2 linked regions of the Oreochromis niloticus genome follow. The protein of the gene in region 1 interacts with the protein of each later gene in a biochemical or structural test. Links are inferred from orthologs where the notes say so. Each region holds a gene or a part of one and is shown in the gene's direction. Other genes may lie near its edges.

Region 1 (7,851 bases):
GCATTTTATAGCTTTTTACCGGAGCTCTCAATGTGAGGTCCAAAGAGTGGTCGATGCATGTGAAGGAAGCCATCGTAGTCTGGAAAAAAAATAAAATAAAAAAAAACCTAAAAAGGAAATGGAAAAAAACTTTAGTAAGTGGTCAAATCAACAATGTGGTGCATTCTGTAAAATAATGAATGAATCATCTGGCCAACTCAGCAACATCAAAAGCCTTGAAAGACCACAGAAGACAACTAAAGTTGATGATTGAGGAAATCTTTACTGTTAAGAAAAACCACTTCACAACACACAGACAATTCAAGAACACTGTCGAGGAGGTAAGCGTGCCGTTGTCAAGGTCTGCAATCAAAAGACAAGTTCATGAATGGAAACAGAGGATTTACAGCAAAGGGGAAACCACTGGTTACACTCAGCAACAAAGACATCAGATTAGAACATTAAAAAACAAAAAACAAAGAGCCTGCCTACAAAAGTAAGGAGACAGACTGAAACAGCTCATGATCACACAGATGCCACATCATCTGTCAAACATAGTTGAGGCAATGTTATGGCATGAGCATGTAGGACTGCCAGTTCAACTGGGCCTCTTGTTAGTACTGGTGGTGTGGCTGCTGATAGAAGCAGCAGGATGAATTCTGAGTGTACAGGGCCGTACACTCTGCTCAGACTCAGTCAGATTCTGCGCTTCACAGTGCAAATGGAGAGGTCTTTAAGGAAAAAGAAATGGGATATTCTTCAGTGGCCACATCAGTAACCGATTGAGCATGCTACAAACAAGCAGCAATTTAATTTTGTTTTAGTTTATCCAATTACATTTGAGCCTCTGACAATGGAAGACTGTGTATAAAAATATCTGTAATTCCTAATGTTGTACTTAAAATTCCTTAACATTAAAGCTGAAAATCTGCACTTAAATCAGATCTTGTATTATTTAGTTTTAAATCCAGTGTGGTGGTGAACTTACCCAAAACAACTGGTAATATTATCTTTTTTTTAAAAATATAATCAGTCTCTAAATATTATAGGCTGCAAGTAACTTTGCCTGCTGTTCCTTATTTATGTTCCAGTTATGAAGTTGCTACATTTATGATGTGCTAACAATTGTGTCATATCTTTCCATCAGGAGATCAAAGTTTTACATATTGACAGAATGCGTTTCAAGATTCGCTCCATTGGGTAAGTTTGGGGTCCTCCTCAATAACACTGAAGTTGTGTCTTAATAATTATTTTAAAAAATTATTACATACAATTCAAACCTGAGCTAATGTGGACCAACTTTGTAATTTGTTTTTAAGGCAAAGGTCAAACTTTATCTCATTCATTTTGTTGAACTATCTCAGATTATCATGAAAAGGACGTGCAAAAAAGTTCAAAGTCCTTTGGTGTCTGTTTGTAATTTTAAAATGTTCCATATTTTTCCAATATACAAAAAGATCACTGGGTTTAAACGGGTTGGGTTTGGGGAAAAAATAGTTTATCAGAGATAGAAAATTCAGTTTTACTGTCTCTCTGTATTTTTCTCTTTACTGCTACTTTCTTTGCTCTATTTTTCTTTGGTTTATGAAAGGTGGGGTGAAGAATTTTCTCTGGAAAAGCACCCACAGGTAAGCCAGAGAAAGAAGTAAAATGACACTCATTAGAAGAAATACATAAAATGAATAATTAACTCTACAAAACTACAACGCAACTGCAGTAACTTAGATGTCATTTGTTGTCCTTCTAGGGAACTGAGGTGAAAGCCATCACATATTCAGCAATGCAAATCCATGATAAAGAAAAACCAGAAATATTTGCCATCATTGATATTTGATATGACTTTGAGAAGAAGCTCACACTCACTGGTTCAATAAAAGTGGGAAGTTTAAGTGGCCTTTTAATTCAATGCACTGATTTTTTGGCTAGTACAGTCTTTTTTGGGGCATGTAAGATAAACTCTTTATTTAAATTTAAAAAAGAATTTTAAAATTAGCCTTACATTTAAATAAGACTTGTGGAGATATCAATTATTCGGAGGGAATACACTGAATTTCAACTGTGTACCTGAAGTCAAAATTACCAAATTTAAGCTCAAATTTTCATTTTAGGAGATTGTTACTCTTATTTGTGATCATTTTGAAGGTGTGTTGATGCATTATATGTCATTGTAAATAAATAAGCAAATGTTTACCTTTGACACAGAATTGAGTCACCTGTTTTTCAACTTAAAAATCTCAGTTTAAGTATTTTATGGAGGTGTTGTGATTCAATAGGACAGAGGTGAAAAAAGGTCATCATTTATCACCATATTTCAGCAAAGAATACTGAATTGGAAAAAATGTGCACAACTTATTTTGAGTTCAACACAGCAAAAGATTTGAAATGTACACTTTTGAACTGTTTAAACCTGTTGATACAAATATGAGCTGCATTAAATGTACATGAGTGTACATCATAACACAATTACTGATTTTAAGCTGTTCATTATGCAAACTCAACTCCATTTTTACACATCTATTTTAAAATCACTGGTATTTGAAAATGCATTAGGAGATTTGTAGTGCTTGACTTATCACATTAAACTTCCTATTAAGCCACATCTACTAATCCTGGCTGGACTTTTTAGCTGAGAGGCTGTCAGAAGAATGAAATAGGACCTGACCAGAATGATCAAAGCAAAGGCTGCGCAGTGAAACATCAAATGTAAGATGAGTGTATTCTACAAAACACTTCCCTGCATTAGACAGCAGGATATTCATGTCTGGGCTTGTGTCTTATTTCCAGAGAGTAACTGAACAAAGCTTTTCTAAGAAACATCCAAAGCTTGTTTTCAATAGATATCTCAGACAAAGCGGTATAATACCAGGAAGCTGCCTGTATGAATAACTGAAAGTACAGGCAGCAGTATTCTATGTATAAGAGAAATGTTTTGGTCATTGACTAAATACACATACCAGGTAAAACAGAATAAAACAGAATATAGTGTTAAAACGGGATGTTGTATACTGTAGTGCTTCAGATAACTGAGAAAGAACATTAAATTTGGTGATGTATTATGTGGAAGAATAAATGAGAATTTTATTTTTTTTTTTAAAGAGAAAAAGAAAAACAGAGTGAAAGGAACACTAAAAAAGTAAACTGTGTAAAATCATTCCTATGACAGATAAATTTACAAATATTCAAGTTCATCAACTCAAGTAAGTGAATGAGTAAATAAACAGATATTTTTATTTATTTCGTTTTATTTTTGAGCAGCTTTGACTTTTGGGTTTACAGTTTAGTGTCATACTGCAATTAATTTAACTTGCATTAAAGACTTGTTCTTGGAAATAACATGAAATAGTTTCAGATATATGGTTTGAGGTTTATATGCAGAGATGTTTTCAGGAAGTACAAGCTCATTCATTTCAGAATTGTGGGATATTGTTTGAGCATTGTTTGTAAATGGAGCTGGCCTTTGAAAAACTGTGTGGTCTGTTTTGATCATGTTCTGGAGCGATGCACTACACAGTTTGTATGTATTGAATTTCAAAACTTTGTTGTGACATTTTACAATAAATTATATCATAATCCAGACTATTGTAGATGTGGGTAAATGGTGTGTAGTGCTGTTTGCTGTCTGCTTGTGAGAACTGTCTGAACTAATTTATTATTCAAGTTTCTTTATTTTTATCTGAATACTAATTTTAAAACTCAGATTAAAGAACCCAAAGATCATTTGTGTCATGTGCTGGTTGATTTCATCAGGCTACAATTTCCTGCTTCTTGAAGGACATTCAAAGCTCTTTGGTTGTTGGGTGGCTTTTTTTTTTGTTCTGTTCTCTGATAAGATCATCCGATGCTGTTTCATTAATGTTGAGGTCTGGGCTCTGGGGAGGCCAGTCCATGACTGGTAATGTTTTTTTTTTTCTATGCTTTTACTGCATTGCCAGTGTGTTTGCGATCATTTTCACGCTGAAAAATGAAACCGTTCACAGTCAGTTTTTCAGATATTACTGCATGGTGGATCAAATTTTGACTATACTTTTCTGTGTTCATAGTTCCAACTATTTTGCCAACATCAGCAAAACCACTGGCTACAATGTAGCCACAAAGAGATGACTGTAGGCATTCAGATGACTATAGACACTCACTGTAGTTATGCTTTCTGACCTCCTCTGCAAATATTGATGATGGTCACTCAGTAAAACATTCTACCACTGTGCAGTTCTCATGTAATTTGGCATACCTCAGCCCTTTTCTCCATGTTTCCCTTCCTTGGAAATGGCTTCTTATGGCCACTCTTCCACTGAGACCAGGCTTTGAGGCTTCTCTGAACTATAGATGGATCACCTGAAGGGATAAATGCATCTCTCAGGTCCTGTGTCAGGTCTATGCTATATTCCTCCCGCTGTTTCTTAAGGACATTGCTTTCATATACCATTCATCTGCTGTAGATGGCTGTTTAGGCCTACTACCTTTTTTTTTGTCCTCTATTTTCCTCAAGGTTTTTGAGGAAAGTGGAGCACGCTCCACACCGTGCTGAGATGATTTTGCGGTAATAGCTCCTTGTTTTATCCCTGTCAACCCTGGTTTCTTTGGAATTTTCCATACAATCAATTAAAGAAATGGCGACAAATTATGTGTTTTTGCAACAGGCTGCTATTAAGAAAGAGCCTAAAGATAAAATTACAATGAATGGATCATAAGTTTGGGTAAAGTACCTTAAAAGAAATCCCCTGAAATGGATGAAAAAGCAGACATAAAACAAGGTTTGCTCTGACTTTGGCACAGTGCTGTAACAGCAGGTAATCAGGGCTCTGGAGCGTATGACAGTGACGTCACTGTCTTCTTCCGGGTTCCCTCCTCCCCCTCACTGAAATGCAGCTGCGCCATCCCTCCTTTGTCTGCTGAGGAAGAGTGCAACGACTTGCAGTGGAGAAGACGCCGGTGGGCCCTTTGCTAACTACACCGTCTTCCTTGTTGTTGCATTTTCGTTTTAAGGGGGAGAAGCTTAACGAACTGAGCGGGGCTTCGTTCGCGCGTTATGAGCCAAGCGAATGCTAATAAGAGCAACACAGAGCCTGCCGTAGAGTCAAGCCCAGCAGAGAATAAGATCAAAATGGAAGACACTAAGTACCTCCCGGAGCTCCTGGCTGAAAAGGACAGCCTGGATTCATCGTTCACGCATGCAATGAAACTCATATCTGCAGGTAATCTCGCTATTTGCTTTAACGTAAAGGCTAACACGGGCTAGTTAGCGCGAGTCGGGGCCTGTTTTTTGTTTCTTGCCCCTTAGCCGAGTCAGAGGCCTGAACAATGGCGCATTAAGCACGTGGTTGATAGCGATGTGGGTCGGGTCGTTGTCCAGTGTGTATTTGAAGCTGTGCAATTGAATCACTGGATCTCATGCGATTTTAGTCTTGTTTAGTCATCAGCTAACACCGATATTTAACGACGAACTGCTGCGATTTCGAGGCGGCGCTTTGCTAACTACAACCAAAGCTTAACCTGCCGTTTATTCTTCGGATGATGCAGGGGATCATATCCCATATCATCTAACAAAACCCCCCCGAAAAAAAACAAACCGAAAGCTTTCGTCTATTATTTGAAATGCATTTGTTCATGAATACCAGCTTTTTAATCGTGTTTAATTCCTGCAGAGATTGAGAGGATCCAGAAAGGTGAAACTAAGAAAGAGCCTGAGAAGGAAACCTACCTGGACCTGTTTGCAACCAAGAATCTGAAGCTCAAGGAGCGTGTCCTCATTCCCACCAAGCAGTACCCTAGGGTATGTCTTTTCCATTTACATAGAGCCTTAACCACCTAGGTGATTCAATCAGCTGATCTAACAGATTAGCAATTGTACTGATTTCTCACACTCTACTTAATTAGGGTTTTTTCACCTAAGAGAGCTTTCTCTGAGGTGCTCACGTGAATTATGAATTTGTTGCAGGTCAACTTTGTGGGAAAGCTTTTGGGACCTCAGGGTAGCACGATCAAGAGGCTACAAGAGGACACCGGAGCAAAGATTTCAGTTCTGGGTAAAGGTTCCATGAGGGACAAGAACAAGGTTTGTGTAGCTGTTTCCTTTGCTTCTGTCTCATTGCCCTGCATCACTACTCTGGCTATAGAGTTTTGTGCGTTCATTGTTTTTAGGAGGAAGAATTTAGAAAGGGGGGTGAAGCTAAATATGCTCACCTCGCCATGGAGCTGCATGTGTTCATCGAGGTGACGGCACCCATACCAGAAGCGTACCTCCGCATGGCTCACGCCATGGAGGAGGTGAAGAAGTTCCTTATCCCGGTATGTGTGCGGAGACACCTCTTGATACAAGAATCAAACTTTCTAACAGATATCCACTGATTCCTCAATGCTCTGCAATAATGGTATGCATGTTTGACTGTTGCCACATGAACAGGAACCTGGTGAGCACGATCCATACATGGATCCTCTGTTCCTGAATGGATCCCAGGATGGTTCGAGGGGGCGAGGTGGTCCTCTAGGAAGGGGCAGAGGTGGACCACCTGGTGCTGGAGGACCAAGGTATGCGATGGAATCTGCGACATAGTGTACTACAATACATGTTGTGTCTGGTAACACATTTGCCTGAAAAGAATGCCTTAACGGGTTGAGTGTATGTGCTTGCTGCAGATGTGCAACTAGAGTCTTGACAGATTCACACAAACTTAAAATTACAAATGTTTGTCAGCAAACTAAAATGTATGTTAGTTTTCAGTTGAAAGCTGCAGGAACACTAACATGGAGTCTGTTTTTTGCATCTGGTTTGGCAAAGTAGGTTAATGGTATTGATTTAACCCTCCACAGGGGCCGAGGAATGCCACGTGGGGCTCCTCGAGGAGCGATGCGCGGTGGGGCTCCACGCGGAGCACCGGGGCGAGGTGGCGCACCAAGAGGCGCTCCGTCTGGTCGGGGTGGACCTCCTTCTGCTCCTACTAGAGGAGGCTCTGCTCCTCGCTCCAGACCGCCTGCAGCAGGAGCTCCCAGGATGCTCCCCTCGGCAGCCTTGTCTCACCAGCAACACCAGGTTCCACCTTCAGCAACAGGGTCAAAGCCTGATGCTTATGATGATTATGTACGTCCTGAATCCTATTTGACAGCATTTTTGGCATGAATGGGAATGGTACAGATTCATGATGTTGCCTCTTTTCTTTCTTTCTATCTAGCCTGCATATGATGACTCTTATGCAGAGCCGGCATATGAGGGATATGATAGTTATTATAGCCAGCCTTCTGCACCTGCGTAAGTCAAGTTTAATTTATGTAACATGACTCTTTTAATGTTTTTTGTTTTGTTTTTAATTGGGAGTATACTGTCTTAACCCTTGTTGATGATGTCCCCTCAGGGATACAGAGTATTACGATTATGGACACGGTGAAGCTCAGGATCCATCATATGAGTCTGGTTATGGTAAGTCTTTAAATCTGATGTCTCGTTATTTTTGCTTCATTGCTTTCAGACTTTTAGCTTATGTGTTTGCACCTTTTTTTTTCTTTTTTTTTGTTGTTTCTGTGACTTCTTGTAGCTCAAGATGATTGGGACAACTCGTGGTCCAGTGCCGGGGCTGGAGGCAAAGCCCCTCCACCTAGGCAGACAAAGGGATCGTACAGAGAGCATCCTTACCCAAGATACTGAACAACTACTGGTAGAGAGTTGCAGTGGCAACTGTCTGTGATTGTAACTCACGCTTAACTTTACAAAAGTAATTTCCCTCTCGTTTCCTTTTTTTATGGTTTTATTTAAAACATTTTTCTTCTTTTTTCTTTTTTGTTAACTTAGGACATTTTGTTGGATGTATCCTAGTGCCAGAGGAGCAACATGAAAGATTTTTTTTTTCTCCCCATTGTTTATCTGTTTCAGTTGCATAGTTG
Region 2 (7,891 bases), on another chromosome or scaffold:
CACTTGAGACGGAAGATGGAGAAATGGCAGTTGCAGATGAGCGAATGTAAGGACCAAGAAATTCGACAAAATCTTCTTTTATGACAAAAACCCGGATCCGTGCAACAGTAGGAACTATTTAAGGAACAAAAAGGTAAGGCGTTCACCGATAATATGTTTTTCTCTCTCTACACTAAGTTGGCGCTGTAATGGCTCACATAGGAGCTTGTCAAAATTCAGGTATCAAAATATACATTTAACTAGATTTCAACGAGATTGAATGACATGAAAAAATGTGGCATTTAAGATAGTCTACCAAATAATTATCGGTTTGAAAACACGTTCTTATCAAATTGTTTCGTACATCGGTGGAAAATAAATCGCTTTAATTGGTTTGGCCGGCTAAAAATATAATGTTAAGTAATGAATGTCCTGTAGGTGTTAGAAAGCATTGTTTATGCTTTAGGCTTTTTAAGCCTTTTTACCTTATATACGTGTGACTTGTGTTAATTATCAGTAATGAAGTTATATTCATCTATATTTCAAAAAGGAGGAGCAAGAGGAGGAGGAGAGACGGCAAACAAGAGTACCTATCTGCCCCCTTGTGGTTGTGATGTGCGGTGTATTGCCCAAATGAATGCTGCAGTAACAATAAATTTTAGAGTTAAAAAAAACAAAACATCAGAGGCACTACTTTATACTCATCGTATATATATATATAGGCTTTACACTTGGAAAATGATATTTTATAATTAATATTAATAATCAGTAACTGGCTATTGAAGCTAAATCCTTGTGCTGTATAAAACAAAATAGAAATGGTTCAAACTCTTCCCCTCCATTTAACCCTTTCACACACTCCTACATAGCTACAGGATTTGCTTATTTATGGTGTGCAGTTCCATTCAGCTCATAAGTGGCCCACATTCATATATCATCCCCTGGTGGATCCCTGTTATGTAATTTCATCCCCATCAGACTGCATCAGCCTCACAATGTTTGCTGCTTGGCTTATATGAGCTCACACGGGATATACACAGCCTATATACACAGAGGCAATAACACGAATGTAAATCTTGGAAGGGTAAAAGGTAACAGGGATGAGGTAATGTGAGAGATTTTTTTTGTGTCAGCACATGTGTATTTTGGATGCGTGTGAGTGCGGGGGTTTGGATACTGAGAGATAAATTATGTAAACCTCTAAACTAAGTCCAGATACTTGACTGCACTTTGGTTGCTGTTACACTGTAATGGATTTCACTTCATTTTTCAGATTGCCCCATTTGACGCCCATACAACATGGATATATCTTCATCTTCGCTTCAGTACGGATCAAAAAAGCGGGTCAAGATTCACCCCAACACAGTGACGGTGAAATATGCCACTCACTTCCCTCAGCCTGGAGATGAGGGCTATGATGATGCACCCTCTTTTGAGGACTTTGGCGCCTTCGCTGAAGCCAGTGTGGGGAAGAGACTGGTGTCAGATAGCAAAGGTGGCAGGACTTTCTTTGGAACCATGGAAACCCAACCTAAGCAGCCAAGTGTGCAAAGAGACAAGGGTGTTGAGGGGCAGCTGGCCAGCTTTGGCGAGGCGAATGTGTTGGCCTCCAGGGTAACCTGGATGGCATTGTTTGGGGCAGCAGTGGCTCATGGCTGTGTGGCATTGATTACTCGTTTAGCAGCTGACCGTTCTAAAGTTCCTTCTCTTGAGCTACTATTCATCCGCTCCGTGATCCAAGTGCTGTCCATCCTGGTGGTCTTCTACTACCACGAAGCCCCCTTTGGCCCCAAGGGCTATCGACTGCGTCTCTTCTTTTACGGTGTCTGCAACGTAATCTCAATCACCTGCGCTTACACATCCTTTGCCATAGTACCACCTAGCAATGGCACTATCATGTGGCGTGCCTCCACCACAGTCTTCAGTGCAATTCTAGCCTTCCTGCTGCTGGATGAGAGGCTGGGCTATACCGATGTGGTCACAGTGGTAGGAAGCGTGTTTGGCTTGTGCCTGGTTATGGTACCAAATGTAGCAGATGAGGAGAAGTCCAGGCTGGGGTTTTGGAAGGAGGCCTTTGGCTACACAATGACAGTGATGGCCGGCATGACTGCTGCCCTCTCCATGATCGTCTACAGGGCCATTAAGGAGCGGGTCAGCATGTGGACCGCACTCTTTACCTTCGGCTGGACGGGCACAGTTTGGGGTGCCTCCACCATGTTTATCATGCAGGAGCCCATCATTCCTCTGGATGCGGAGACCTGGGGCTATTTAATTGGGATTTGTATCTGCTCCACTGTGGCATTTCTCGGAGTCTACTATGCTCTAAATAAGTTTCATCCAGCCTTAGTGAGCACTGTGCAGCATCTGGAGATTGTGGTTGCCATGTTTCTCCAGCTCATCGTTCTGAGGATGATCCCCTCTGTCTATGACGTCATCGGGGGCCTAGTCATCATGATTAGTGTGTTTACTCTGACGGGAGTCAAGCTGTACAGGGTGAGCAGAGCCATTCGGCAGGATTACCAAGAGATCCTGGACTCACCCATCAAATGAATTTAGATGTCAGTCTAATTGTTTACAATGTTGCTTGGTTGTACAATTCAAAGAATGTCTGGGTCGTCATCTGATGATTTTGTATTGTTGTGTTGTCAAATGAGTGCCAGTTGTGTAACTAATAAAAAAAATGGTGTCTTAATATTTGTGTGGGAAATAATAAAAAAAAAAAAGGCAGATATAACATGGTGACCACTTTGCCCCAGTAGTATTGCTTTAATGTCTAATCAGTTGTGTGACTGGCCAAAATGTTGGGCATGAAAATGATCTGTTTGATTTGTGTGCTTTACCACGCTCAAAGATTTGAAATCAAATTGACCACGTGGGATCTGGTCTTGTGAATGTCAATGTAAAATCAGCAAAGATGTATCTCTGTAAATGTCAGCCCAGAGATGGGTCACGCTACATAAAAGGAATAAAATAAGAACTTTAAAAACAGCCCAACCTTTTATAAAAAACAAAAACAAAAAAACAACTGCTATTTATTTGTGTGGCTCCTAAGCTGTTGCTTTCCAAGACAGTATCATTTCTTCAAAGAAACAATTACAGATGAGCCAGCAAAGCTACAAAGTACAATATAATGTCCTTTATGTGATAGGCTGCAGGCTGTGGCATTATGTGAGATTGTTCTTATTAAATCTAAATTGAACATCACAAACAGACTCCAAATTTACTGGAGATCAAATGTGACTTTGAAAAATAAAAGATCTTGTCTATAATTCCTTATATTTTGTGCACAAACTGTTGTTTTGTTGTTCCTGTTCCCTATCACGTATGCTCTGGCCCCATCGCCTAGTTGATATTTAACACTGGCGATTATAACCCTGGATTCTGCTTCTGTTTACTGTCAGATGCATATCAAACTAATGCCCAGAGGCAGGTGCACTGTATTGAATTAGAGTCGCCTTTTGACAGCGTGAGACCATCTGCTTTTTCTGTAGTGGGTGATTCAGTGTCTCACCAGTGACGTCTCCTTTCTCTGTTGAGAAAAACCAAGCGAACTTGAACTCTACGTTTCCCCAAGGCAAAGCATCAGCGATGGAATGAAATAAGGACAAAATGAGGATGCAGAGTGGATGAAAAGAGGGGATGATGCTTGCTCACAGCTGACACAAACGCATGATTCACTGATAGCCCAGCAGGTGGCATTCAGGATCCGCTTCATTTCTTAGACTGCTAGAGCTAGGAAATTATTTTACTTCAGAAAGCCAGGAAGCTAATGTTTTGCGTATGCAGTAGAAATGAAAGCATATTGATGGAGCAAATTGATCTGAAACTGTACACAGCTGATGACAATCTATTGATTAATTAACTTTTTTGCACACAAATAGGTGATAAATGTCATGGTACAAGTATTATACCCTTTTTACAGCAACAATATAAGCAGTAAATCAAATCCGTCTGTGTAATGACAATCTACTACTATTGAATAAATACAAAATGACTAAAACAACAAGCTAGATCCATTTGCAGCGAAAATGTGGACAAAATCTTTCTCAAGCTAATAAGAAAGTGACTCAAAACACATTCCACCATGCCATATTTTATTTTAATTAGTCTAATTTATATTAAAAAGTGAAGAGAAGTATTAGGTGGGGTTTATAATCCACTATACATGCAGTATTATAGTCTTGTTTTGGGTGCAGATCACAGAATACATGTAGGGCAGGCCCATCTGTTTGAGCAGGAAACAGATTGCATCCTGCAGCGAGTTGCACAGCCTTCCAAATTACTCTGCAAGTCTCTTCACCACAGACACGTTTAATAGATGTATCATCATTTCACATGTGGAGCCCGAATGGGATTGGATGACGAGTTACTTTATGTAGATTCGTTTTTGTGTATTGCACGGTTGGTGATGACTGGGCACTTCTTTGAAATGCTTATTAATCCCGAGATAACTACAGTTGTCATATACTAAAAACACGTAGGCAGCACTTAACGTAATGCTTGCTGAAGGGCAAGCTTGCACTAAATAGTATCACCTGGTTATTTTTTTTAAAATGTATTTTATTTTAGCAAGTATACTACAGAACATCAATTTTTACTAGCCTAAATTATAGTTTGGGTCTTGTGCTAAAGTCCCTCTCACTACTTATCTTTCTTTTGGATACCAAAACATTAAACAATACGTGATGCAATAGTCAGACTCACATTCCATCTCTCTTTTCATACACAAGTCTATCAATGGTAGAGATTTGATCGATTCTTTACCCTCACAGAGAAGAAAAACATGACGAATGCTTAGGGGAAAGCAAAGCACCAGCAGCTGCAGTGGGATTAACGGACAGTGTCATTGTCCAATCACAGAGTCCAGATTCTCCCTCAGCCAATCGCGTGGCAGCAGGCGGGACCCAGAGAGCGTCTGAACTGCTTGTGTAGCTGCGGCTAGTTAGCTTAGCCGTGCTGCTGAGCGATGACATGCACTGATGCAGAAATGCTATTCCAACGGGGCACGGCGTCTCGTCAGCTAGGCTAGCTTCTTGGAGTGGGGAAAAAAAAGGGGAAAAAAAACCCTGGCTGTTTAGCTAGGATTCTGGATGCCGTTTCCGTGCATCTTCAGCTGCTGTGTGTAACCCTTTAACATATTTCCAAAAGGACATAAGAAGAGGTGGCCGTCAGGAATCAGGTAAGACGTGGTATGACTAGAGCAGGGTATGAATCTGAGCTGCCGCTGATGGTGAAGCTCTGTGATACAGACTGCTGCAATAACGGTTCTCCAGCGTTAAAGCTCACGCAAGCTAACAGCTAAACGTTAACCTAGACTGAAAAAGAAAAGGAGAGAGAGACAAAAACACCTAGTGTCCTTGCCAGCATGGTCAGCATACTGTTACCCAGCTGGCAGACGGTTAGTCTGGCTGTAACCACTAAAAGCATATGGGAGAATTTTCTTAGCCAGGTTAATGTTAGCCGTTTTAGCGTGACACGCTGTCAAGCTCAGGTTATAAGGTAAAAACTCCACCAAAACTGCTACACTTCTTTATCATCTTTATACTTCTTTTCGTTCAAGCGGGCACCACGTAAACACTTCTATTTGTAAGAATGACAATTAAATGAAGCCACAGTGATATTAAACCGTTTGATCCACTTTACAGTTTATACTTAAATGCAGCTTTATTTTTTTCTTATTATATCTTAGGATTAAGTTTTCAATTGCGTACTGAGTTGAACTCGCTTGGTCGTGGTCACGATGTGGTTCACTAGTATTGGGTTTTGCTTCAAGTAGCCATAATTAGTCATAGCCGGTCCATCACTTCAATGTTCACCCAGTGATACCCAGTTGGCTTGGTATCCCTTTATTTGGACCAGTAGTGCGCAACCTAAAGGTATTCTGTCCTAGAGATTTAAAATGCAGGAGAAATCTCCACCTTGGAGAACATACAACAATGAATTATTTTTTTCTGTTTTTATCTAAACTCAATTTGTGGATAAATATCTACCTGTATAATACGTGCAAAACGCATTTGAGCTTACATATACCTAGTTGGATCGCTTAGATCTTGTTTTGGGCAAGATTTTGGGTAATTGCACACTTTGTTTATCTCGTAACATTGTTTCTACCTTACACAACCCAAGCTAGACTAAATGTCATTCTTAGAAGCACAATGGGGCAGTTCGTCTGTATAACTCCTGGCGAGCCCTTGCGGCTTTTGTTTGTGTGGCCTTTTACAAAATTTGGTGCAACACTCAACAGATTATTCCAGCTTGAGGTTTTTGTATTGCAGGTATTTATTTGATGATTTGTGGTTAATTATATCTGAGCGATTTATGGGAGTAGCCTGCACGTCTCTGCAACCAAATACTAGCGACTGGTTAAGAATTACTCTGTAATTATTGTCACAAGTTAGTTTTCAAGGAGGTGAGAGGAGGCGGAGGAGGAAGAGAGAGGCATTTGCTCTGCTGTTGCTTTCTTCTCAGTTGGAGTCACAGAGAGGGCATCCACAGCTTGCAGGAAGAAATGGTGATGCCATTCTTATCAGCATTTCGTACTTGAAGGCTTGCATTTGATTTTCATCTTAACACATGGAAACTGCAATTAGGCAAACTATTTTAAAAATTTGCACCTGTCAGCTGCCATGTCATGAGCTTCTGTGCAGAAGTGAGGACTGTTCCTTCACTCAGATATACTCCTTGTGTACTCCTGTAATAGTCATACATCCCACACTATAATGGTGCTCTTGTTTGGATTTTATGACAGAATAATCTTATGTGTATGAAGGCGTTATCCTTTTTTTGTTTGGCTATGCCCTTTCCTCTTTTCCGAGTGTCCGGCTACCAGTGGCCTCCAGCAGCCAAATCTGTCCTCGCAGCCCAGGGTAAAATACCAACTGCGCTTTTCTCAATGGCTAAAATTTCCCTCAGAGCTCAGAAGCTAGTTTATAAAGTCACTTTTCTTTCTTTCTGTTTTTTTTTTTTTTTTTTTTTGGTTTTTTTTTTTTTTTTGGGCTTCTTATGAAGTTGAGAAATGGGGAATTTTTTTTTCTTTTTTCCGCAATTGCCTCTTTGCATGTTATCGCCCTAATCTCTGTTATTGCATACATTCTCTTCCATTTCCTCTTTCTTTTTTTTCTTTTTTTTTGTGCCCGACTGCTCATGCATGCAGATGTTTGAAGAGTAAATAACAGACGTTTTCTGTATACATTAACTGTGACAGAACATGACGGAGCAACAGCTTCTGCTTGGTGTGCCCTGGCAAAGGGCAAAAAAGGCGAGTAATGAGCAAAACACTGAAACCAAAAAAAGGGGGGAAAAAGGAGAAATTTCAGCTTAACTACTAAAGCAAAGTCGTAAGGAAGTGCCCAGTTATTGTTTCTTGTTTGGACTAAGTTTTCCAACTTTTGTAAAAGTGTACTGTCCCGGCTGTATTTGCTGTTTTGTTTTTTTTTTTCTATTTTTTTTTCTTTTTTGGGGAGTAAATGATTTGACTTCCTCGTGTCGAGTAGGAGAAGTGTGCAGTTTCAGTGTTTTTTCTCTTGGTCCATTATGGTTCAGGGTTTTCTTTCAGTGGGTTTGGCAAAGTGATAATGAGGATGTGTGTACTCATGCAACTACGACTCATTGTTGTGACAGCAGTTGTGTAGCACTGAATTACAAAAAAAAGCAATACTGTCATAATGAAAGAACTGTGCGTGTCTTTAATGATGAAAGCAGGCTTTTCAGGCACAAGCGTTTGGCAATTTCTGTGAATTTGTTAAACCAATAGTAAGTCCTGTCCACAGACCTGCATCAGTCTGCTACAGTACTCTCAGAAAGAGCAAGAAAATGATGGTTCATGGGTGATTTCTACACCCCCTGTTTTTCTTGTCATTTTCTTTTTGAACATGTTATGCAAAAAACAGTTAGACCTTCATATAGCTCAGAT

What was found. The genes of interacting proteins can lie anywhere in the genome.
Region 2: the proteins of khdrbs1a (region 1) and nck1b form a complex in vitro, tested with the Homo sapiens proteins (3 studies listed by BioGRID, with this or other methods). The link is inferred for Oreochromis niloticus from reciprocal best matches to the Homo sapiens genes KHDRBS1 and NCK1.

The regions. Positions count from the first base shown.
Region 1 is NC_031983.2:8,562,949-8,570,799, forward strand, and holds the start of khdrbs1a (KH domain-containing, RNA-binding, signal transduction-associated protein 1a), read left to right. Parts: upstream 1-4,843; 5' UTR 4,844-5,005; coding exon 5,006-5,171; intron 5,172-5,621; coding exon 5,622-5,749; intron 5,750-5,914; coding exon 5,915-6,031; intron 6,032-6,117; coding exon 6,118-6,264; intron 6,265-6,379; coding exon 6,380-6,504; intron 6,505-6,786; coding exon 6,787-7,054; intron 7,055-7,145; coding exon 7,146-7,222; intron 7,223-7,325; coding exon 7,326-7,390; intron 7,391-7,505; coding exon 7,506-7,615; 3' UTR 7,616-7,851. Other genes in the region: zbtb8os (protein archease), read left to right, coding at 1,127-1,179, 1,571-1,607, 1,727-1,813. UniProt on the Homo sapiens protein: Recruited and tyrosine phosphorylated by several receptor systems, for example the T-cell, leptin and insulin receptors. Once phosphorylated, functions as an adapter protein in signal transduction cascades by binding to SH2 and SH3 domain-containing proteins.
Region 2 is NC_031974.2:17,862,369-17,870,259, reverse strand, and holds the start of nck1b (cytoplasmic protein NCK1), read left to right. Parts: upstream 1-4,885; 5' UTR 4,886-5,158; intron 5,159-7,891. Other genes in the region: slc35g2b (solute carrier family 35 member G2b), read left to right, coding at 1,279-2,529. UniProt on the Homo sapiens protein: Adapter protein which associates with tyrosine-phosphorylated growth factor receptors, such as KDR and PDGFRB, or their cellular substrates. Maintains low levels of EIF2S1 phosphorylation by promoting its dephosphorylation by PP1.